7 separate regions of the Mus musculus genome follow, and all the other regions are reported to be linked to region 4. Evidence: microRNA targets listed by miRTarBase, many of them from high-throughput screens and not tested one by one. Region 4 holds a microRNA gene; each other region holds the end of a gene's coding sequence.

Region 1 (3,381 bases), not on the chromosome of region 4:
GTTGACACCTCTGAAAATGATCGTCACTTGTTAAATCTTCATAAAAGTGCTGACTTAAGGACGGCTTTAAAGTCTTCATGATAGACTGTGTGAATGACTTCCCATCCTGCTGTGCAGACAGGCCTCAAGAGTCTGTCAGGGCTCCAGTCAGAGATTCTGCTCTCAAAGCTAAAATAATTCTGACTGGTCAGTCTAATTCTTTAAGTACTTGAAATGTGCCCCATCTCCACTGAGATGTGCTGTTAAATATTAAATATGGATCAGACTTAAAGACAACATAAAATAGTAAAATATTTTAGTAATTTTTATATTGAGTACATGCTACAGTTGGTATTTTTAACTTGAATTGGCCTAGATAAAATAAATATTAAAATTTATTTTTATTTTATTATGGCCACCAGAAAACTGAAAAGTGTTACGGGGTACCTATTTCTGCTGGTCAGTGCCAAAAAATAGCTTTTCTTGGTGAAAGAGTGCTTCCCTTTTGAAGATTAGGAGGTGGTGCTCAGGGAGCTGTTTTGCTTTCGTTGCAGGCACTTTAAAGAGGAGGAGACCGCCACAGCCCATTCAGCAGCCCCCGCGTCAGAGGCCCCGAGAGAGTTATCAAATGGGACACATGCGACGCTAATGCAGCTTTTGCCTTGGTTCTTCCTAGTGCCTACAGTGGGAAAACTTCACTCCAAAGAGAAACCTGTTAAGTCATCATCTGCAAATGATACCCTTACAGTTAATAGTTGAAGAAAAATGGCAAGAGATCATGTCCTCAGATCAGGTGGAATTACTCAAAATTTAAAGCCTGAAAATTCCAATTTTGGGGGTGGGGGTGGGATGGAAAAGGAACCCAATTTTCTTATGAACAGATATTTTTAACCTAATGGCACAAAGTCTTAGAATATTATTATGTGCCCCATGTTCCCTGTTCTTCGTTGCTGCATTTTCTTCACTTGCAGACAGACTTGGCTCTCGATAAACTTTTATCACAAATTGAAATATATTTTTTTCAACTGCCAATCAAGGCTGGGAGGCTCGACCACCTCAACATTGGATACATCACTTGCCAATGTACATACCTTGTTATATGCAGACATGTATTTCTTACGTACACTGTACTTCTCTGTGCAATTGTAAACAGAAATTGCAATATGGATGTTTCTTTGTATTATAAATTTTTCCGCTCTTAATGAAAAATTACTGTTTAATTGACATACTCAGGATAACAGAGAATGGTGGTGTGCAGTGGTCCAGGATTCTGTAATGCTTTATGCAGGCAGTTTTGAAATGAGAATCATTTTCCCTTTTCTTATGGTGGAGTTGGTTCTTACATACATTTTTTTCCTTGTTACATGGCTGCTGTGAGCAGGAGAGGCTGTGCTGAAGAACGCAGCTGATGGCTTGCAAACTGGACAGCAACAGCATTTGGCTTCAGAGTCAGCTCTTTTTGTAGATGTCTGATTTCTGCTTAGTATTTTATACTTTCTAAATCAATTCCATTTTTAAATTGCTAGGTGAATTTTTTCATGCCTTGGAATTATGTTGGAAATGATTAATTTTCATCTGTAGCCTGCTTATTACTTTGTGTATTCCATATACTTCAAGCCTGCTAATTCTGTTTTTATCCAATATGAAAAAGAAAATCAGTGTCTTCATTGAAATACTTGGACAGTTAGTTCTTCAGCACTGTCACTGATCACTGGTAACCACTAGAGATGGGTGATTTGCTCAGCAGGTAGTTGAAATTGTAGATAGGTTTTTCGACGTTGTTTTCCCCCCAACATTTTAGCAACAATGAAGGTAGACAGCACAGTGTCCCATTACAAACTTCTTTTTTAAGCAGATAAAATATTGGCTTTTTTAAAGAAAGAGAAAGCAAAAGCATTTAATGTATTAACAGGCTTATCGCTATGCAGAAAATGGAGGGGGCATTAAAAAATGTAAGCTTGTGACATATTCATTGCTTCTGTTTTCCAGCTACATCACTTAAATTAGAAGTCAGCAGCAGTGATCTTCCTGGCTTTACATAGGAGGCAATCTAGAGAAGGTTGACAAGATTACTGTGTTTGGCTTTTTTTTTTTTTTCCTTTTTTCTTAAGAGTCTAAGGTTTACACAATCACTCACAATGTGACGCGAGCCAGCAAGGCCAAAACCGCTAGAGAAACAATGGGATCTCTCCTTGTAAACTTGTACAGTACGCGGGACTTTTTTCAAAACAGCTTTTTGTACATGATTTAGAGACAAATTTTGTACATGAAACCCCAGATAGACTATAAATAATTCTAACCCAACAAGTAGGTAGCTGTGTATGACACTGCTTTAAATCATTCAAATGCCTTTGTTTTTGGACTGTGCAAAGGTTGGAAGTGGATTTGCATTTCTAAAATGGTGACTTTTATTCTGCAAGAGTTCTTAGTAACTTCTTGAGTGTGGTAGACTTTGGAACATGTACATTTTTTGCTTGTAATGTTATCCTGTGGTAGGGTTTTGCCCTATTTTATTTTGAGTCTAAGTTAAATGTTTTCTGAAGAGATACATGCACTGAACTGTTTCCACTACAAATCAAGATGTGGTTAAAAAATGAAAGGACCAGGACCAGTGAGATCTAATACTACTGTCAGTTTAATGTCCACTGTGTTTTATACAGTATCTTTTTTTTGTTGTTCACTTTGGAAATTTTTACTAAAACCTGCAAAAAATAAAGTATTGTGCAAAGATGTAAGGTTTTTTGAAACTTGAAATGCATTAATAAATAGACTTGATGAAATCAACTTGAGGTCTATGCTCTTTGGACTCAGAAACATCAGAAGTAGCCACCATGCTGAATGAAGGACTATTCAGCAGAAAGGTCTCTCCATGCAAGTGAGGGCATCACTGCTACAGTCCAGAGCCATGGTGCACAGTTGATTGCCATTATCACATGTACACTGTATGTTGAAAGTTACTCAACACAACGGCTTCTCACTGTTTCTAAGCAGTGTCCAGGACTTGTCCTAGTGAAGAGCTGAAGCTAACTGGAAACTTGTAGTCTTCTTTCTGTGTTCTCAAAGTTCTGTCTGGGTGCTAAGTGCTTTTATTAATGTCTGATTTATCTGGATGTGGTAGTGCCTATCCATAATTTCAGTACTGTAGAGGCTAACGTAGGAGGATCTGGAGAGAAAAGGTAAACCTAGGCTATATGCAAGATTCCTTCCCTAAACAATCCTGGTAAAGAAATTACCTAGCATGCACGTGGACCTTGTCTTCAATTCATAACTCCCCTGTCAGTTCCCCCACACAAAAGAAGACTTGGTCTAATGAAAATGTATTTGAAATTCTGAACTAACATTTTCCCGTCTTACCAGATTTATTATATATTGTAAGCAGAGAATTGACATTGTAATATTACC
Region 2 (3,381 bases), not on the chromosome of region 4:
TTTCTGGCCATGTCCTTGTAGCTACACACCAAGAGGTTCTGGGAGACCCAAACAGTAAACATTACTTGACCACAACTGAGCCCTCTGGATACTGGATACTGTTTCTTGTACTGTAACTGACATGGTTCCTTAGTTTGTCCCCAGGCAATACAGTCCTGATGTACTAGCTCAGACACTTTGCTTTCAGGAAGCCAGAGGCTCCCTGACCCTCTTAGTACCTGGAGGAGCCAGAAGACATGCCTCAAGTGCTAGCTGCAGCCTAAGTCTGTTGACAGGCCTATCTGGTTGGTTTCTTTTGTGTGTGTGTGTGTGTGTGTGTTTGGAGAACAGAATAGACAAAACAGGGAAAAACACTAAGACTTTATTAAAGAAAAAAATAAAACATTCTTAAAGTTGCAGTCCTCAACTCTGTCATATACTGCCTGCCGTCTGTGTCCTGCTGCTTGAGGGACTTGCGTGACTTTTTCTTCAAGCAGCACAACTTTCTTTTTTCTCTAGACATTCAACAAACATGAGTTATATTAGAAACACTGATTTTGGAAATAAGTCTATTTTGGCTTAAAATAAATATAGACTCTTGGGGAAGTGTACTGGAAGAACTGGCTGTTGAGTAGCTCTGTTTACTATTCTGGGGACAGGATCTGGCCAGGGCCATTGCAGTAGGTGTTATGAATGCCCTGGCAATCCAAAGTGGTTTCATAGCTGCTAGCTTCCCCCTAGGTCAGATATAATTACGAGAGACTCAACAATACCAGAACCGCCACACTACCTGCAGGAGCACAGCAGTTCAGCAAGCTAACCATCCATGTGTGAAGGTGAATGACGGCACCCTGACAAGAAGCATTAATGGCGATTGCTGTCCAGAAGTTTTTGTTGTTGCTAGTGACTAACCCAGAGCTACACTGGCTGAACTGCCTATCAGCAGACCCTTGGAATATAACAGCTCTGTTCTGCTTTATAGCCACCAAGTCAGCAACCGAGTCTTCAGAACCGCTAGCAACTGTCAGCACAGAAATGAGGACAGGAATGCTCACTGGAAGATCAAAAACAGGCCTGTTTTATTATACACAGAAGAACTTATTTACAACTCTCTGATGCAGACTATGTACATAACAATACAAGAGGAATCTGCTCCAGATGGTCACTATAAATTAAGATTATAAATATGAGGGGTTAAGGTAGCCCCACCTGCAGGCACAAAACCTTTACTCCAATTCCTTGGGATCCTTCATTCTATCCCTCTCCAGAACTCTAGAGAACTGCTATGGGTTTGGGGCAGGGTGGTGATGGCCAGAACACATCTGCGGAGAGCATGGCCACCTGGCAGGTCCCTCCAGCACTCAGACTGGACCTTTCACTTTTTGTTGACAATAATGATTTCTAACACCCTCACCCAAACATGAAGCTTTCTCAAGAAGGCCACTGCCCTCAGTTGTTTCTCAGGACCCTAGTCACCTAAGTTTCAGCTGGTCTGGCTGGCAAAAGCTCTGTGAATTATCTGAGGTTATCCCTGCTTCCACATTCTGGTCTACATTGACTGCTCAGTGGAAAATAGAATCCCAGGTGGAAAGTGAAAATTATTTCCATTCAGGGAGGCAGCAACAACCACACACAGGGCAAAGATTCTCCCAGCCCACAGCTGATAGACAATGGGTGGAACTCTAGGCCTGGGGCAGAACACAGCAGGAACAACACTGTAGGCCCTTTCCATACTCCACTCTGCTCACCAGGGCTCTCAGATCTGTCACCAGGAAAGGGAAGATGAACAAGGAGTCTAGTCTTCAGAACAAACAGCAGGTCAACCTTGCCTCCCAGCTGGAATTGCTGCAGACTCTACCTAGAGCCCAAATTCAGTACTTCCTTCCCATGTCAGATGGGGAAGCACCGGCAGAGCCCACAGACCTGTCATCTCTGGTGAGGACCACAGACCAGCAGCCCTCCCTTTCCAGCTGTTCTATCAGTCCCTGTGGAGGACTATCTCAAAAGTAGAGAAGGGTAAGTAGGTGGCAGTGAAGACTCAGGACATCCTCACCTGGGAACTGCCCACAGGATGTAGTCTGGGCCTTGGAGAGCTTTCTGCCCAGCAGATAGTAGCAAGGCAGCAACAGTCAAGAGGCCTAACAGGCATCTCCTGGGACAACAAACCTCAGCGCAGATGAGAAGCCACCCAAGATGGCTCCAGATGACTGCCCCTATTCATTCTCTCATGGCATATGTCACTTCCAGCATCCAAGAAGCCTGGTCTCCACAGGAATGCTGAGTTAGTGGCAATCCTTATCTGCCCCAGACTGGACTGCAGACACCTGTAGCATCCTGAGGAGATACATGGGCTGTCCACATGCTCACAGCCCACAGGACAAGAGTGGGGAGAACCAAGTGTCCTGAGACCTGGCCTAAGCAGGAGGACTTTCCTCCTTCCTCACAGACTATAACAAGCCTGGAAACACATCCATGCCATTTTCAAACCAGGAAAGTAAATAGCTTGTTTTTTAAAACAATGAAACCTTGTGAACAAAGGGGGCAACAGCAGTGGGCTGCCTTTGTGGGGCTGCTGTGAAGAACTACAGAGTGGGTAGCAGGCACAGAGAACATTCTGGTGAGGGCCACTGAGGCCTGACCCAACTCTGTTTCTGAGAGCCAATAGAGACAGAAGATGGTACTACCCAGTGTGACCAATAAAGGACACAGAAAAGGAGTGCACAGCACAATCCAAGCATGTGCCCCAGGTAAGAAGGTTCTGCAGGGATGCCAGGTGCTGGGTGGTCAGGCTTCATTCACCACATTCCCTGTGGCCCACAAGGCAGGTTAGCAAGAGCCACAAGTGGATGTGACACAGTCTGCCCCAAATGACTGCAGCTAGGAAAAGTATTCTCTCAAAGGTAGCTGTGTTGGTATGTTCAAGACTCCAAAGCTGTTACCAACGGGCATTGGGCTTCCTGTCTCTAACAAAAGGAATAGCACCATGAGAAAGGCCAGGGGCTGAGTGCTGGCAGTGTCCTCCCTAGGCCTCAGTCTCGGGAGGAGCGGAGAATGCAGGCAGAGAACGCAGAGGCTAGGCCTCGGCGGCAGGGGAGCTCCGGCTCAGCTCCTTGATCCCACAAAGGATCCTCTTCATATGGCCCACTTTGGTCACACCAAGGTCCTGCAACAGAGAAGGAAGACAGGCAACATGGATATTTGGAAGAGGGCTCAGACCAGAGGGCTGACAAATGGGCTGCCACCAAAAAGCTTTCTCAGTCTCCTTTTCAAGTACAAATTAGGAAAATGATCAATGGATGAAATAGGAAGGAAATCAGCACAAATGTCAGTCATGCAGACACCCAATGCATGGTTCCTGTGTCCTACAAAGACTACTGTTGTGAAGGACAGCCAGCAGACAAA
Region 3 (3,375 bases), not on the chromosome of region 4:
CTTCAGAGCAGTGGATTCAAACCGTGAAGAAGTAAGAGTCACCTGTGATGACTAAATTACATCCCCCTCATTTTAATCAAATGGATAAGGGGTAGAGCCTGCATTTTAGAAGTTAATACCCAAATACACCAGCTCTGGTGTAAGGTGCACTCATTCTCATTAGGAAATACCCATGGGAGAAATACTACATGGGGATGGATCCAAAGAGTGGTTGGTTATGGGCCCTGCTCAGTCTGTGCAAAAATAATTGAGGTGCAATACAACTGCTGTAAGGTAACTGTTGTGTGGTTACTCACTGGAAAGAACTCCAGAAGTGTCTCTTGCATCCCAGAAGTAGGTAATTGGTTCACCATTGTTTGGGGGATATTTTAATTCACCGTTTCTCTGTATGTAGTGTTACAACAGCAGAAACCCATACTTGAAAATGTGCTTTTCTTTTTTGTTTTCTAGGATGGGTTTGTGGAGTTCTTCCACGTACAGGACCTAGAAGGCGGCATCAGAAATGTGCTGCTGGCTTTTGCGGGTGTTGCTGGAGTAGGGGCTGGTCTGGCATATCTAATAAGATAGCCTTGTGAGTGCAATAGGGGACTCTTAAAGCTCCAGCCACCAAACTACATGCATCTGTGAAAACATGTGTATTTATGAAGGTGGACTTGAAGCTGCCCAGGATTTTAACAGTCCAGTTCTACTGTAGCAACATAGCAAAAAGAAAGTGGCTACAGGATTGTGGCTAACAAGAATAAATACATGGGAAAAGTGCTCCCCCTGGAAGAGTCACTGTCTGAATGAAGCAAAGTTCCCTCTCAGCAAACACTGAGAGGCCATGGAGAAGGACTTCTAGAATGAATGAAAGGGGTGGATGGAAAGGTTTGATTTCCTATCTAGAGATGGAAGAGGGGCCAGTCATCAGGCTAGTCACAAAGCTCAATAAATATCCATTACTCTGCTCAGAGTGTTGAGAGAGAAGCCCTAATTAACAACGTTGGTGACTTGTGTAAAATGGATTTGTAACCTACAAGTCACCAAACGATGACTAGAAGCTGCAGTGCTGTACAGGAATGTGAAGGGAGGCCTCTGAGCAGTCCAGGGTGTGCTTGACAAAGTCCCAAGTGCTCAGGACTTTTAGCCCTGTCTACTTTGGCTTGGTTTGGATGATTCTTAAGTTTATTAGCCTAGTGATGGCCAAAAAGTACTTGACTTAAGGTTCACTAATTAGTTACAAAACTGAACAGCCTCGATTTTTAAGAAAATTTATGAAATGTATTTGTCTGTAAAAATTGTATATATTTTTACAGAAAGTCTATTTCTTTGAACATAAGAGGGAAGTCTTGGATTTAGTTTTTTTCCATACCCTTTTGAAATTTGCAGCTTCTCTAGTTAGAAATGTATTTCTTACAGCTTTTTAAGACTTTGTCATCCGTTCTAGTGTATATGCAGAGCCTGTTGTGTGTGTGGACTGGTTATAGATTTATAACTATGCAGGGTTAATTATCCAATCTTTTTTTTTTGTATTTAAAGATCACAGGTAGATAGATGTAAGACATTTGATCCCCTGTTGACTTACAAAATTGTAAATGGTAAAGCAGGCTAGAGTCTTAACCATGGTGCTATTCACTGGGTTTACTTGTTTAACACAAGTTTATACCTGGTGTCAATAAAACAAATATGTATTTCTTGTCTACTAAGGATTGCCAAGCTTTGTTTTGAATTTCTGTATTGGTCTCTAGGTGTAGCCTTTACTTCCTTTACTGTTGGCGTGTTATGCTCCCAGTTCCCCTATAGAGTCGTCTACACTTCCTCCCTGTGCTCTTCACTGGCCATTTTAGTTATCTGCATTAGAACTCTCACCCCAACCCCCCCAAAACTTTGAACCTAAATAACCCCTCCCCCATCCTAATCAGAGTCAGCACAGCTTTCCTGTCAGAGGATAGGAACACTTGCTCTTTGAGCCCCGTGACCGACAGTGACCAGGGATTGGCATTCTTGGATTGGCATGCTTTCCATTGTTACTTTGTCTATTTTGGTAAGAAAAACATCAAAGGTCCCCTTGGGAATTTCAAAGGTTGGAAATTATACGTTTATACTTTTATTAGTTTGCTCCAAGTATGACTGTGTTCACTTAAGTTTAGAGAAACACTGGGTTTTGCTAAACTCGGTTAACAAAAGCCACTGGTAACTGAAGGTATTTAAGCTAGGGTCATTTGAAAGCTTCAGCCTCAGAATGTGACCTTTAGTCAGGGCTGCAGATAAAAATAGGCAGGAATCAAATGACTAAGAATGTAATAGGGAAGAAGTGCCCTGCCTGCCAGCTTGGGAGTGATTTGTACCTGTGTATTTATCCTTGATCATAGTTTGCTTATTTATGTTTAACTCTTCGGACTTCAGAGCACTTTATGTAGTTGAATAAACCCTAGAGGTTGAGGTGACTAAAAGGTTAGCCTCTCATAACCCAGCCATGGAAGTTTTGTTTACTAGGAGCCTGACTTCCCAGCTCACAAAGGGTGAAATGAAAGCTGAAGTACAGACAGGATCTTAGTAGGTATTTTAGGTCCAGGGCCATGAAGACTTGGAGAGCGCAGTGGCTGGGCAAGGGGCTGCTTTGGAGGGAAGAAGCATGTGGTCTGAGTGCTGACTAGATGAATAGTTGAGGCACATCCTTCAGAGAAGAGGGAGGGGCTGCTTGGAAAGATGGCTCTCAGCAAAATCTGTTTGTCTTACACGTCTCTCAGGGAAAAAACATGCAGTCTTCAAGCATCTTCCATGTACATTCTATCTGGGTGAACACCTTCATTCTGGTAGAGCACCTAACACTTTAACAGCTGTTCCCGAAAGGGTTAGGACCAACTGCAAGTTAATGTGGGTTGTAAATGTTCCCCTAACTTCTGTTTCTTCTGAAGAGAAAATAAACCTTTTTCCCCCCAAAGTAAGGTGTGGTATGGGTCTTTTCTTATCGCCTTCCTCTCTTGTGCAAGCCTTTTAGGGAAGTCAGTTGAACAAATAGAAGTGAAATAAAAGCAAAATTCAGTATTGATTTGCCTTATGGTAAAGAATATAGGACCTGTAATTTAAATTTGTGGTTAATGTATTCCTGTTTTAAACTAGTTCGGTACGTTTTTGGGTTGCGGGGGAGAATGCTTAGCACCACACCTGGCTTTCTCATTGACAAGTTCCTTGTATCTTAAATTTATTAGTCAAGGTTGACCTTGAACATCTATGGTGATCCTGCTGTGCTAAAGCTGGGATCTTGGGTGTGTTATCCTTGCCTCTGCAGGCAGTGTACTTGGAGAAATTAGCTTTGCTCCCCACCAGCCAAGTGCAGGCTCCCCTTGGAAGTTAACCAAGTACCAGTGTGCATGAAAACAATAACAGATGCAT
Region 4 (3,381 bases):
TAATCTTATCAGAAAACACTCCATCTGAATTGTCACACTTTAATAAACAGAGATCCAAAGAAAGTAACATTTTTCTTAACTCATGTTAATGGGTTTTAGAGTAAAATAAACCTGAAGTCATACCAGGTTCAAAAGGCAGTTTAACTTCACCTAAGCCCCCACACACAACTTCTTACTAAATCCAGCGAGCAAACACGAAAATGAAATGATTCAGTAAAAACAAACCACAATTTAAAAACACAAATTTCAATTAAAAAAATCCCGTTTTACACACCAACGAAAGCAATAGAAATCACAGTTTACAGAATGTGTTCATACACTCCATCAGCTCGTGAACATTTTTACAGTGGAAATCGGCATCTTCAGCAATATTGTCATTTTCACATCTTCTGGTCACAATCCCCACCAAACTCAACAGGCCGGGACAAGTGCAATACCATACAGAGAAACACAGCATTGCGACAAATCCCAACCTGTGTAGAAAGGGGTTTGATTTTCCCTTACTTCTCTACAGACTTTTCACCACCACAGTCAGTTTTGCATGGATTTGCACAGCAGAATATTATACAGCTGGATGCAAACCTGCAAAACTAACCATAGACCAGTGCTCAATAACAGGACAGTTGGCTGGGCGATGGCCAGGCGAGGCTGGAGTTCTACAGCTGGCAGTACTTTAAGTGCTCGTAATGCAGTAGATGGCTACACACTACCTGCACTATAAGCACTTTAGTGCTACAGAAGCTGTCACATCACACACACCACGCAGGCTCTACATCGACACAATAAAAATACAAAATTAGTTTAAAAAAAAACAACACTTGAAGTAAATAGCAGGCCACCATCAGTTTTGCATAGATTTGCACAACTACATTCTTCTTGTAGTGCAACTATGCAAAACTAACAGAGGGCTGCAAACACAACTATGGAGAGACCCCTACATGCTTGCTTGACTTGGATTGGATGAGGACATAACTTCTTATGCCAGAAGGAGCACTTAGGGCAGTAGATGCTAGTCTACTTCACTATCTGCACTAGATGCACCTTAGAACAAAAAGCACGCAGCACCAGCAGGCCCTCCCCGCGACCGACTGACCGACGACTGGACGCAGCCAGTGCCGCCCGAGGCAGCGCCCACTGTGGCTCCCACCGAGGCAGCTGTCAGCATAATGCTACAAGTGCCCTCACTGCAGTAGATGCACACATCACTACCTGCACTGTAAGCACTTTGACATTATTCTGACTGGTCACAGCTTCAGTCCCAAGGTGAGGTTCACTTTATTCCTGCTAAATTTGAAATAAATAATTAGACAAAAAGGAAAAAGCCAAAGCTCTAAATTCTGTCACAAACATCAATTACAGCTTATACCCAAGGGGGGGAGGGGAGGAGCCAATAGCCAGAAGTTCCAAATTGGACACATGTAAGCCTTAAAAAAAAAAAAAAAACTCCTTAAAGAAATATAAGATACAATCCCATTAAAATGTTGGCTTTTACAGTAGGCTTCCCCAAAAAACACACAATAAGGGTCCTACAAAATGAGACCTGTTATCAGGAAGGCAGTCTGACTTGGTACTACCTTTAGAGGAAAGCCTCACATTGACCAGGCAGCAATCCCTTTCTTCTGTCCTCCACATTGTCAGATACTCGACAAGATTAATGATTATTGTTTAGTCATTTTCAAGTTTATTAGTCATAAAACATAAAAAAGTCTTAGTATCACCCCAAATTAGAAATACTCTATGACTCCAACTTGAAGGGTCTACAACTATTTGGTTAGTGTCCAAAAGCCACTGTAGATTTACTACGTTAAAATGTGGCTCACTCATTTATGACAAGAGTTCAAACTGTATTTATTTCATACCTTAAAAGACCAAGAATGTTGTACAAGCTCAAAGACAAAAGTGAAAACCAAAGGTCTCAAAAGAAGTTTTAGCTACAAAACTAGAATATACTCACCCACTCAGGCAAACTTCCTTCTCAGCAAGTATCCTTGGGCAATGCTTCGGGTGCTGCTAGGTCCACGTGTATGACTAGGGTTGGGGGTGGGGTGAAGACAGAGAAAGGGTAAGCACATTTGCTCAAAATTACTACCACTTTCCGAGCCCCATTCCAAGTTGCTCTTCTCTTAATCTTCCTAAGGGGCAATTCTATCCATTTGCCAAAAAAAAAAAAAAAAAAAAAAAAAAAGAGAGAGCCAGGACCACAAGGTCCTGAGGGCAACAATGTATTGGGTGGAAAACGCTGTAACAAAATAAAGTTGAAAACCCACCAAGATTCACATCCGTGCACGAATTAATGTGCCCCTGAAATACTGCAAGATGAGTAGCAGCAAGCCTGAACTCTACTGTCCAGCTCAAGCTAGAGAAAAAGGGCAACCAGGACTAGTCTTCACCACCCCTCCCCCAATCAGGACCTCGTGGCTGCACGCCGGGATAAAGAGTTGTTTCCCCAACTGCTGTGATCCTCGTGGCACGTTGCTCATTTTCTTCCCTCTGGTCACCTAAGAACCACGAGCCCTGCTGCGCTCTCCAGTTTTCTCCCCTCCGCGCCAGCTTATCAAGAGAAAACCGGACGGGAACACGGGATCCTGCCAAGTACCCGCCACGCTCATGGAGCCCGGGCCGGCAGCACATGTCGCACAAGGGGGCAGGCGGCCCTTGTGGGTTCCCCGCGCGGCCGCCAGGGGGCGGCAGGTCAGAGCCGGGCCGCGCTGCGCCGGACGCGGAGACTCCCCCCCCCCCCCAACCCCCGCCCGTTTCTGGGCGGCTGCGCGGCGAGCGGCGGCGCGGAGGCCCGAGCGTGGCGAGGCTCCGGACACGCCGGCCGTCCTTTGTGTCCCGCGCGCCCCCCGGCCAGGCTCCGGGGGAGGGAGGGGGGCGGACAGGGCGCTCGCCGCACGCGGCCCGAGGCCTAAGCCGGGAACAATCGGCGGCGGCGCGCAGTCGCCGCCATGTCCCCCCCCCCCCCGCCCTCGGCGCGCGCAGCCCGCCCCGCAGGAACATGGCGGCGGGGCCGCCGCTCCTGCCGAACCCGCCCGGCCCTCCCGCGCCGCGCTCGCAGCCAGCGCCCGTCCGGGGCTCCGCGCCGCCCCGAGGGCGGGCCGGGGCGTCCCGGGCCGCCCGGGCGGACCGCAGGGGTCGCCTCGCCCGCGAGGGGAGCTGCCCACGCGGCCGCACACAAAGCCCACGCGGAGCGCGGGGTGGCGCCCCGGCCCCGTCGCCCCGCAGCTCCCGCGTCCCGGAGCCCGGCCCGGCGCGCACAAAGTTTCGGGGACGCCGAGTGCCGCCCGCCCACGCCGCCCGCGCGCAGGTTCCTCGTGGGCGCGCCCCCTCCCGGCCCGCGGCCTGCCCCATGTGCCGCCGCCGCTTTGTTCTGGAGGCGCT
Region 5 (3,381 bases), not on the chromosome of region 4:
GAGGACGGAAAGGCAAACCCGGTGTGGCCATCTTTGGACGCTGTAGAGTCTCTGGCAGGCATCTCTATCACATCCTCTTCCATGGCAGATGTAAAGCAACATCCAAAATTAAAACTTAGGGGGAGGGGAGATCTGGACCAGAGGCAAGGTGCTTGTCCGGCATGCACTTACAGGGCCCTGGGTTCTATGCCCAGCACTGAAAAAACTAATTCAAGATAAAAAAACTTGTAGATATTGCTTAACTATAACCTGCCAACCCCTGTTTGACATCCCCTCTGGAAAACGCCACAGACAGCCATCCACCACCACCGACCAGCACTGCAGACTCCACCAGGAAGAATCAGGGAACACGATTCAGAAATAATAGGACACCCCGCATTTTATTCAGTTCTGTATGACAAAAATAGTAACCTAAGTCTACAACATCCATTTCAGTCAGTAGATGTGTCAAGCCACAAGATTTAAATCATAAAATATATCGGGTCTCCCGAACACCCTGGCTGGTTCTGGGAGGCCCTCACCCCCGCGTGGTTTTTGCGGTATAAAAATAGTGTCTCTCTTCACCACGCAGAGGGACAGCCAGCCCTGAACACAGAATGGGGGTGGTCTCTGCACCTTCATCAGCCGTCTCGTTTATAACACTTTACATTTCTCTTTTCTTAAGTTATATACACATCCTTTTGAGAGAAGAAAGAACACTAACATGGTACCAACCGAGACAGGGGGAGAAAACACACCAAGAGGACACAGATAAATAACAAGACGTTCAACTGCTAAAGCAGGGCAACATTAAGCCACCCTGTCTCATCTCCCCAAAGCTGAAGCACCTGCTCCCATCCCCACACCAGCAAGAGATGGCATGGCCTGTAGATGCTCTACCTCACTACATGGAAAACAGAGCCAGAGAGACCTGTGTTCATTTCCAAAGTCAGGAACAGCTAATGAGCCCAGATGCTCTCTGCTCAGGCACAGGCCTGTGGTAGTCATTCCCCTGCAGCGCCTTTTCCTGTTGGTTCAAGTTGTATGAGGTGACTGCTCTATCCTTCTGTCTCACACTGTCTGGTTTGGCCTTCAAGCGCAGACAGCTCCCTGCCGAGGTACCCAGCTACCTACAGTATGTCTTGAGCAATTTTTGTTGGAAGTCCGTCATGTCACATCCCAGCATGCTTGCAAATGCACAAAAATGAGGTAGTACACACAACACTTGACGTTCAAGTTTCCAGTCCACCCTGCCTCCCAGCCTCTGGCTTCTGTGCTCAGTGGATACAGTTTAGACAGGTAGGTCATCAGCAAAAGATCGGGGTTGGAATAATCGGGACACCACACTGCGTTTGCACTTGGAAAGACAATAAATCATGAACTTAGGAAATGTCATGGTTATGACTGATTATACTGCCAGACACTCGGTATCCCGGTCTCCTTTGTGCCCTGACCAGTGCTATGAGGCAGTCCCGTATCGTGTGTGTGAGAGAGACAGAGGGGAGCCTATGGTGAAGTCACACTTGCGCAACGTGTGCTCTGTTGTCCCCCTGCCTTTCTATGTCAGGGACTGAGAGTCATTTGTCAGGGTTTTGTTATGATGCTCACAGTTTTTTCAAGAGGTTTTTGTAGAAAAGTTAAATAAATCATGTTAATTTAAGAAATGGCAGGTCTTATTTTATTGAGGTGCTGACAAGTCCTGGTGGCTTCTTTTCTGCTTAAACGGCTTAGACTTCTCATGTTTGACTTTAAGACAAAACAATAAACTGTGACATGGGTTTTTTTTCCCCCTCCATTTTCTTTAAACTGAAGTACTATTTATAAAATACTTTACATCTTTTTTTTTAATTTTCAAATTATAGACAAACTTCCCTAATACAAAATACTAAAAGTGCAATTGTATAAATTAAGATTTGCAACCACATTATACAAACATTACCTCTTTATTATACAGCTTTGATAATGTGAAATATTTACTCACAACTGTTTATAATGCTGTAAATCATTTTACGCTGATGCTTGTCTGTAACTTGTTCCCAGTCGACCGCGGGGCTACAGACCACACTAGAGAACAATTGTTCACATAGCAGCTACAAACATTTAAATTAAAGGTGGGGGGGGGGCGATTGTTACTGACAGGTACTTGCACACAAAAACCATGCTATCTTTCCCAATAGAACGTCACGATTTTGCCTGCATTGAATTAATCCACTTATTTATAATGAAGCAAATCTCGCTTTAAAAAAAAAAAAAAAAAGATCACATAGCCAGATGTATTCTGTGATACAAAAATCTTCATTTAAGGTTGGGCTATTTTATTGTTTGTTACCCGCATAATCTTAACATAAATACTATAGACAAAAAGACTGTCATTATACACAGCGTTTGGAGCACTGAACTGCTTCTTCAAGACGGAGAGTCCCTAAAACAGAGTTCAAGTGTCTACAGAATTTGAACAAAACCATTGAATGCAGCTCACGGGATTACCACAGGGGACCCCGTTCCCCTACACAAAGGGGTCACTAGGTTTTAGGAGAAATGAAGTAGATATGGTCTGACTCTTTCTGTTCCTAAGGCCATTTCTTTTCTTTCCTTTTTTTTTTTTTCCAAGCACATGAGCTTTTGTCTGAGATTTCCTTTAAAGGTTGCAGAGTTCTTACCTTCAGAAGAGTCAAACCCACTGCAGTACTGCGCCTCGCTCCCCAGGGCTCCCTGCAGCAGCCACACGGTGCAGATATTTTCTGTCGTGGGTATTAAGTATTAATGAGAGCCTAGGCATGTGGGGTCCAAAGCCTGACGCTCCAACTCTGCAGTGGACTTGGGACAGAAGAGGAGGGTGGAGTCTTAAGTGTATCCTGCTAATTGATCCCAATCTCCTTGTTATCCTCAATGAACCTCGCGAATGGCCGGCTGGCTCCCGTCTCTGAGCTCGCTTTGTCCAAGCTGACAATGGGCGGACTACTGCCAGTGCGTGCCTTGTCCACCCCACTGGCCATGGCACCCAAAGGCGGGATGGCACCTCCGCCTAGACTTACTGGGAGCTGAGGGATGCCTCCGTTCTGGATGACAGAGATCTCATTGTTCTTCATGGCCAGCCCGTTGGTGATGGCAGCGGCGTACTGGTTCCAAAAGCTGGGGTCCACATTCATCGCTCGAGCTGCCAGGTCCTTCTGGAACATCTCAGAGAACTTGAGAGCATCGCCACCGAGCAGAGCCATGGGGTTCTCCACAGACAGGCGGCGGCCACGCCTCGCGGGTGCATTGTTCCACATGTGGGTGCCCATGTGTACCTGTGGGGGAGACAGAGAGACAAGCCACAAGTAAAGCAGGTGGAGAGCTCTGAGCGGCTGTGGCTTGACGCCAATGGCCCATGGGCCTACATTCTAAGTATTAGTCTGGGGT
Region 6 (3,379 bases), not on the chromosome of region 4:
TCCTCACACTGGGATGACAAGGGAGCAGGCTGGGGAGTACAGAGTCCTGGTCTCCTCACAGTGGGATGACAAGGGAGCAGGCTGGGGAGTCCTGGTGCTACGGAAGCATCTGTTCAGGGCTGGGGAGAAGCCTTAGTGGGAAAGGCACTTGCTACGAAGCCTAAGCATCTGAGCTTGATACTTCTAACCCACATTGTGGGAGGATCTAATTGACTCTGAAACGTTGTCCTCTAACCAACACACACACACACACACACACACACACACACACACACACACACACACACACACACAGAGAGAGAGAGAGAGAGAGAGAGAGAGAGAGAGAGAGAGGGTCTTACTCTGTAGCAGGGCTGATCTTCACAGGAATTCTCCTCCCTCAGCCATCTGAGTGCTGGGATTACAGGGGTGATCTTTGATTTCTTTACACTGCTGTAAATGTGTCCAAACTGATAGAATACATACGTACTGTGGCTTTAATGTGAAGAGCCAGGTGTGATGATGTCTCATGTCTCTAATCTCAGCATTTTGGGAGACTCGGGCAGGAGGGGCCTTGAGTTTGAGGCCAGCCTACATTAAAGGATAAAACTGTCTCCAAAACAAAACACAGGGGGGAAAGTATATAAAGAATGAAAACAAGGAACAAGCCTTTGGTTCCTGGGTACTGTGCACAGACAGTGCTCTCCGTATCTCCCTTTGTGGATGTTGGGTTTTCTAGCATTAGAGCAACCTAACAGCTTTAACGCTTTGAACATCTGAAATGGGGAAGCCGCTATGACTATGACGTATGACTCTAGTCAGACATACCACCTCTCTTATTATTTAAAACCAATTCTTAATAAAACCTATGAATATTAACCTGTCCTTAGTTTTCCAACGTTTAGGATATATATAAAACAATCACATTTTGACAAACAGGGGCTCTTCAAATGTGATGTCTGGCAAGGATTTCGTCCCGGAGTCTAATAGCAGAGCCTGTAGGCTTCACTCCTGAGCTACACTGCTACACAGGTGTAGTTTTGAGCCCGCACAAGTGATTTTGGATCATGTGGAGTACGAGTAAAAGGTTTTCATGGAAAGATGGTCTTAGGAGGTCTAGCCACAGTGTAGAAATCTTTCTTATATAGACCTAAAAGTATTTTTGTTGATGATTCATAATATGAGAGAAAATAGTACAATTCACATGGTTATTTAAAATTTTCAATCAAACACAGGGCTATCTTCCCAATAGGAAACTTATTCCTGGTGAACACATCAAGTTTTCAGCTTCACAGTGAGTGGTACTGCCAAGTACAGAGAAACACGGAACACGTCACCAGAGCACCCGCTCAGTTATTAACACAGTGGCCAGCTGACGTTTATTTATTTGACAGTGGATGACCAAGAAGCAAAAATGTATTACCAAATGTGGACAACCAAGAAGCAAAAGTGTATTACCAAATGTGGACAAAGCATGTAACTGACATAAGTTTTAATGGGATCAAATGAAATATATTTCTGATTGCATTAAGACACACACATACATTGTTAGACAAACAGACGCTGAACTGACGGCGGGAAGGTCTTGCAGTGGAACTTGGGTGGTCAGTATTCTCCTATTTTCACGCCTTATATGAAGAGAAGAAGAAAAGTGATACACAGAGGCCTGATAGATTATTTCTTTTCAGTAGTGGTGAACAAGGTCAAACCAAAGGACAGCAGGCAAGACACAGACACTGGCTCCCACAGCGAGAGGTGTGTGGTAGGAACAGTGAACTCCTGAGAGCATCCCACTGCCTTCTCACATGATGGCTCAGTCCTTTTTATTTTCAACAACCATGTAATTGAAATTTCGTCATGAATTGGGACTTAAAAAAAATCCTAACAAAATCCTGGGTTCTGTATGGAAACATTTTTGTGCAATACAGTTATTAAATACTCACAAGGTAGCCTATGCTTTAATAATAAAGATCTTTGATACTAAAGTTTTTTATTTCTGCTAGCTTCTACTTAACCATTCTTCCAGAAGTTATTTTTATACATATTTATTCATTATTCAACACATTCTGTAAAATATAAGAACTAATGTAGATTCTCAAGGTCATATGCGGTGACAGATTACAGGGACACACTGATTCCTTGTTGCATACAAGTTACATATAAGAAACATGGCTGGCACATTTCAGTGATCCATGCAGAGTAGGCTCACACAAAAACCAAACCAAACCAAACCAATAAAAACCAATTAAACAACAGTCAGCCATGAAAACTTACACTCCCAGTCACCAACAGGCGTAACAGCAGAGACACCAGCACTGACAGCTTCGTTAGAACCGTGCTGGGCTCAGTCAGTTCTGTGAGATGGACCAGAAAGACACCGGCAACCAGGAATTTTCCTGGCTCTCAACACTGAGTTCAGACTAAACTCTCCTCACATGGCTTTTCCCTATACCGCAGGCATTTCAGGCTTCAAATAAAAACAATCGACCTTCACCGAAAAGCTGAAAATTGTCTCTTGTGAGTCTCTGGAAGCAGCTTGCTGTAGGGCCTTGAGGCAAATGCCAGGGCTCAAACAAACTGAGGAGCAGTCTCGAGATGTAAACAATAATGTCACCATCTTGGACAAAAGCTCTTCACAGGAAATCCTATCCCGGTAAGGCCAACTTCTTGGCTTTTGAAGGTCCATGTGTTTTATATTCTAGAAGTACCGCATATGGTTTTTTTGTTTCTATTATAGAGACTTATGGACTAGATAAAAGTTCATAGTGTTGCTTGAAAAAAAAAACCAAAAATAAAACCAAAAACACACAGCATGGAGAAGCCACTGAAAACCCAGCGCGGTGTTTTGGGCTTGTCTTTGTTTCCGGTTCACATTTTACTTTTATGGTTGGCATACGGAAAACCAAACTGGGAAATCATAATGTTGGAGTACTTTAAGGGCATGCCGTCGTAGATGTTAACGAGCTTATTTATACAGTAGGATCTCTGCAGAAAGTGCTCCGCCCGGTGCCACATTCCGGAATACCCGTTGGTTTCTTTTTCCAAGTTGACCATGTTTATGGGTTTCACGAATATCCCTGAAGGCTTGCCAGTGTGCCTGGTGACGAGGAAATTCATAGCGATGTCGTCACAGTTCTGCGTCTCATCGATCAGCGCGTGGACGGCTGCAGGCTGCTTCTGGAAGAGTTCCAGGTATTTGCTGTTGAAGAAGGAGGCTCCGATGAGCACCATGGAGTACTGGTCGCCATTCCCGGGCCCCGGTGTCTGCAGCTCAAAGCCTCCGTAACTGTAGATCCCGGAGGAAGTAGAGACGTGCTTTCTAGGTACAAATCCTATGATCTGATCAGGAAATTGCTGAAAAGAGGAGGAAAAGGAACAGTTAAGTGTGGTGTTTCTTTGG
Region 7 (3,381 bases), not on the chromosome of region 4:
GTCTCTCCAGACACTTAAGGACACACAGTGGGGCAGAGGAGATGGGAAGGAACATCCATCTTAAAGGCAGGACAGATAAGACGTTTACCTGGCCTTCGAGGTATTTCTCTCTCACGCAAGTGCTACGAGTATGCCTTGGGACGGATATAACTCTAACCAATGAAGCCACAGCAAAACAACCGACCAGGTCAGCACCCTGATGCCAGCCCAAGCCCAGAATGCACTCTGATCACAGTAGCTCACCCGAGGTCTGTGCTCACCAATGGGTAGGGACTTTTCTCAGAGGACTTTCCTTTTATTCATTTTCATATTCGTGCACTCTCTCCCTTCCCCCTCCCCCCTCTCCCCACCGCCCCTTCCTCATAAAATGTATAACATTATCTATAACCACTGGAGTTGCTTGCTGGCGGAGGCGACCCGTGCACAGCGGGCCTTGGCAGAAGCACTCCCAGATGAGCTGAGGACTGTGGTGCAGGCTCTCACTTGCCCAACATACAACCCACAGTGGTCTGGAAACCACGATCACCTTCCCACATTCGACCACCCTTTTCACTGGAGGTAAGGAAGGAGTTACTTGGCCAAGCTGTAACACCCTCACTTAACTCAGAGCAATTGAGTCCCAGAGTTGGAAAACTGCTAACAGCTACGATGGGAGCTTGTGTAGATAGGACTCCTCAGACGTAAAGGCTGTGAGAGTGTTAATGAAGAGAGGAGAGACACCCTCCTTTAGTAAGGTACAAAGGATCTGTGTGCTTTCTGCTCACTGTGGCGAGACAGTGTCAGAACTAGTCAAGAGAGCTAGAACAGAGAGACCTAATCCATACTTTCAAAACAGAATGAATGTCCTGCTAGAGAAAAGGAAACTTGAGTCAGGTGCACAGGAGGGGGCTAGCCTTCTGTGCACACAGTTAAGAGCTTACCTCGGAGTTAACAAGCCACCCTGGCGAAGGGCAGAACCTTAAAGCTGAGATGAAAAATAGAAAAAACTAGGAAAAAGGTGAACAAAAGCCTACATCAAATACTTACATATCACAGTCCTTTGCAAAGCTTTGTGGTCATGGGGAAGGAAAGCACATTTTCAACTGTATGAAAAGCAAAGAAGATGCCTTCAAAATGCCAGGTATAGATAGATAGATACCCAGTCCAGCCAGCACATCTTACCCAGTGCTTAACTTCTGCTGGAAGTAAGGCTGCTTTTCAACCATGTTAGTACATCCTTATGTGTGATGATGTGACATGGAACGGTGGTATGCCTGTCTTCATTGTCCTGGAAGCGTATGCAACCCAGCAGCAACTCGGTGGCTGACTCAAGAAGCATGGACGAGAGCCGTTCAGTGCTATCGCACACACTGTTCTTCCATTGGAAGTGGCAAGGCTGGGGAGGTAGCTGAGGGCCAGAAGGCTTAACAGAATCCCATGCCCCTCAAAGAAACAAGGTGTCCCTCTAGGCTGGAGAACTTCAACATGCCAATAACCACAGCGGACCCTTAATTAGAAACCGTCGAGTGTCTCTTTTAATGTCGTGTTGAGGAGAATTCAAATTGCAGCATAACAGAACCCATCTAAAAGAATTAATCTGCCAGCAGTTAGCATATTGTTTAGCAGTCTTATTCAGTCAGAGAAACACACGGTTGAAAAAAAAAATCGCGTTTTAATTCCCCATGAGTAAACTGACAGGGATATAAAATCAGCACTGACAGACAGGGAAAACAGTCAAGCCCATTGACCCTACAGAAAGAGAATTGTCCCCAAGCCGAGGAAGTGTCCTCACCTGCCTTCCCACCTCCCCAGGCCCACGCTAGTAGCACACGTGCAAAAATACAATAGGATACAACTACTGCAATTGTTATCATTTTCTTTTGCCCTCAGGTGCAGAGCACCTGACAGCTACATGCCGAGTCATGCTAACAAAACTAAGCCTTTCCATTTCCTTAATAGTAAAATTACCATTACTGAATCATTATCATAAAAAGTGCACTCAAGTACATTACCACTTATTTTAAATAAACACCAATTTTGAAACAATCAACTTTGAAAACCTGCATAAGTTTTTTTTTTTAAATCCCTGATTACATTTCTATTTATTCACCGTGGTAGTGTGAAACATTGTATTCTTAGAAACTACCACTTAATTTCCTCTAAAAAACAAAACAAAACAAAACAAAACAAGAAAAGACCCATGTAGTATAGATCCGCAGTGAAGGGAGAAAAACAATGTGTGCTTGTCACTTATCTTCACTGTGCGTGAGAGCTGGTGTAAAATATGGTACTTGTGGCACGTGAATGTGTGGGAAAACACAGTTAACTCATGGAACAGAACTAGTAGCTTACCGAGGAATCCCTGTTAAATTCAAGGTTTGAGCGTCCCTCTAAGCCAATTCTCTGTTGATGCTGCCAAGACATCACCCTGAAGGACTCTGTAAAGCCTTGGACACAGGGTCATGATTTCCACACAATAGTCAACTGTGTTCAATTGAGACCTAAGAGTCCATGATGCCACCTCCTGAGCTCAGAGACGGAAGGTCTCACGCACCCTTCAAAACAGAGACGCTATAGGACCCACTGACGTTGAGGCTGCTGCAGTTTCCCATCAGAAGACCAGACCCCAGAGACTCTTGCGGGCCTTCTTTTCTTTATATGTTCTTTATATGGAGTTGTACTGTGTGATCCAAACTAAGACTCAGGCTCACGTGATCCTCTTGCCTTGGTCTCTCCATGCCCTAGGGCTTGGATTAAAGGGTGCCTTTAAGATAATTGTTAAGTTTGGTGGTCTCTGTTTATACAGTTACCAGCAACCACCTTGAATTTTCCCGTGAATAATTTGATGAGGGGTACATATGTTCCCTGTAAAGACACCAACCTCTGAGTTCCGCCACCGCCTCAGGGAAGTCATACTTCATATAGAAACCGGAAAGAACCCTCACTCCTGTAAAGATTAAAAACTACCCAGAAGATGCATTTTGCTAAACAGCTTACTTATGATTGCTACTTACAAAGTGATACCAGCAAAGAAGTGTGTGGCCAGAACAAAGGAATGTCCAACAGTTCCTGCCGGTTACACGCAGACGAGCCACGTGCTCCTTGAGAAGGCCCCACCAACCTGCCAGCCTCTGGTTTCAGATCAGCAGTTGGAACTGTCCGTCTCTCCTGTTTTCCCACCGCTGTCTTCTTTGTATTCTGGTTGGGTTTCACCTCCCTCCTCCTCGAATTGAGTTGGGTCTTTTTCAGCAGCCTGGTCTTTGGTTTGGGGTTCGTGTGTGGAAACAGGATCTAATACTACAACTGGCTCAGCTTGGTTTTCACTGCCCACACATTTTCTCCTGTATCCACCTTTACTGGGAGGCCTGTGAGAAGAGAGTTAGATAGAAAAACAACTAAGCA

What was found. Region 4 holds the annotated microRNA mmu-miR-17-5p (CAAAGUGCUUACAGUGCAGGUAG, at 1,206-1,228, opposite strand). A microRNA usually pairs through its seed, bases 2 to 8, with sites in the 3' UTR of a target mRNA and lowers its output. Matches are read on the target gene's strand: a 7mer-m8 pairs with bases 2 to 8, a 7mer-A1 pairs with bases 2 to 7 and ends in A, and an 8mer does both.
Region 1: the mRNA of Adam10 is a reported target of mmu-miR-17-5p. The part of its 3' UTR that is shown has no 7-base or 8-base seed match.
Region 2: miRTarBase lists Dgkd as a target of mmu-miR-17-5p. The part of its 3' UTR that is shown has no 7-base or 8-base seed match.
Region 3: the mRNA of Mcl1 is a reported target of mmu-miR-17-5p. Seed matches in the 3' UTR shown: 8mer at 2,387-2,394 and 7mer-A1 at 2,809-2,815.
Region 5: the mRNA of Sall3 is a reported target of mmu-miR-17-5p. Seed matches in the 3' UTR shown: 7mer-m8 at 1,868-1,874.
Region 6: miRTarBase lists Extl2 as a target of mmu-miR-17-5p. The part of its 3' UTR that is shown has no 7-base or 8-base seed match.
Region 7: the mRNA of Shtn1 is a reported target of mmu-miR-17-5p. Seed matches in the 3' UTR shown: 7mer-m8 at 1,970-1,976.

What each region holds. Positions count from the first base shown.
Region 1 is chr9:70,777,467-70,780,847 of GRCm38, forward strand. It overlaps Adam10 (a disintegrin and metallopeptidase domain 10), which reads left to right. Exons shown (of 16, transcript NM_007399.4): 16 at 534-2,763. The coding sequence ends at 628. Among named protein-coding and RNA genes, the nearest start is that of Adam10, 100 kb to the left of the region's middle.
Region 2 is chr1:87,942,144-87,945,524 of GRCm38, reverse strand. Dgkd (diacylglycerol kinase, delta) reads right to left here. Exons shown (of 30, transcript NM_177646.3): 30 at 1,036-3,142. The coding sequence ends at 3,053. It overlaps Usp40 (ubiquitin specific peptidase 40), which reads left to right. Exons shown (of 32, transcript NM_001198573.1): 32 at 1-404. Among named protein-coding and RNA genes, the nearest start is that of Usp40, 65 kb to the left of the region's middle.
Region 3 is chr3:95,660,257-95,663,631 of GRCm38, forward strand. Mcl1 (myeloid cell leukemia sequence 1) reads left to right here. Exons shown (of 3, transcript NM_008562.3): 3 at 451-2,923. The coding sequence ends at 567. Among named protein-coding and RNA genes, the nearest start is that of Mcl1, 3.2 kb to the left of the region's middle.
Region 4 is chr14:115,041,531-115,044,911 of GRCm38, reverse strand. Mir17 (microRNA 17) reads right to left here and starts at 1,241; the gene lies at 1,158-1,241. It overlaps Mir18 (microRNA 18), which reads right to left and starts at 1,061; the gene lies at 966-1,061. It overlaps Mir19a (microRNA 19a), which reads right to left and starts at 912; the gene lies at 831-912. It overlaps Mir20a (microRNA 20a), which reads right to left and starts at 755; the gene lies at 649-755. It also overlaps Mir19b-1, Mir17hg and Mir92-1.
Region 5 is chr18:80,966,636-80,970,016 of GRCm38, forward strand. Sall3 (spalt like transcription factor 3) reads right to left here. Exons shown (of 3, transcript NM_001369133.1): 3 at 362-3,269. The coding sequence ends at 2,838. Among named protein-coding and RNA genes, the nearest start is that of Sall3, 19 kb to the right of the region's middle.
Region 6 is chr3:116,026,967-116,030,345 of GRCm38, reverse strand. It overlaps Extl2 (exostosin-like glycosyltransferase 2), which reads right to left. Exons shown (of 5, transcript NM_001163514.1): 5 at 1,330-3,333. The coding sequence ends at 2,848. Among named protein-coding and RNA genes, the nearest start is that of Extl2, 20 kb to the right of the region's middle.
Region 7 is chr19:58,971,865-58,975,245 of GRCm38, forward strand. Shtn1 (shootin 1) reads right to left here. Exons shown (of 17, transcript NM_001114312.1): 17 at 1,494-3,344. The coding sequence ends at 3,122. Among named protein-coding and RNA genes, the nearest start is that of Eno4, 30 kb to the left of the region's middle.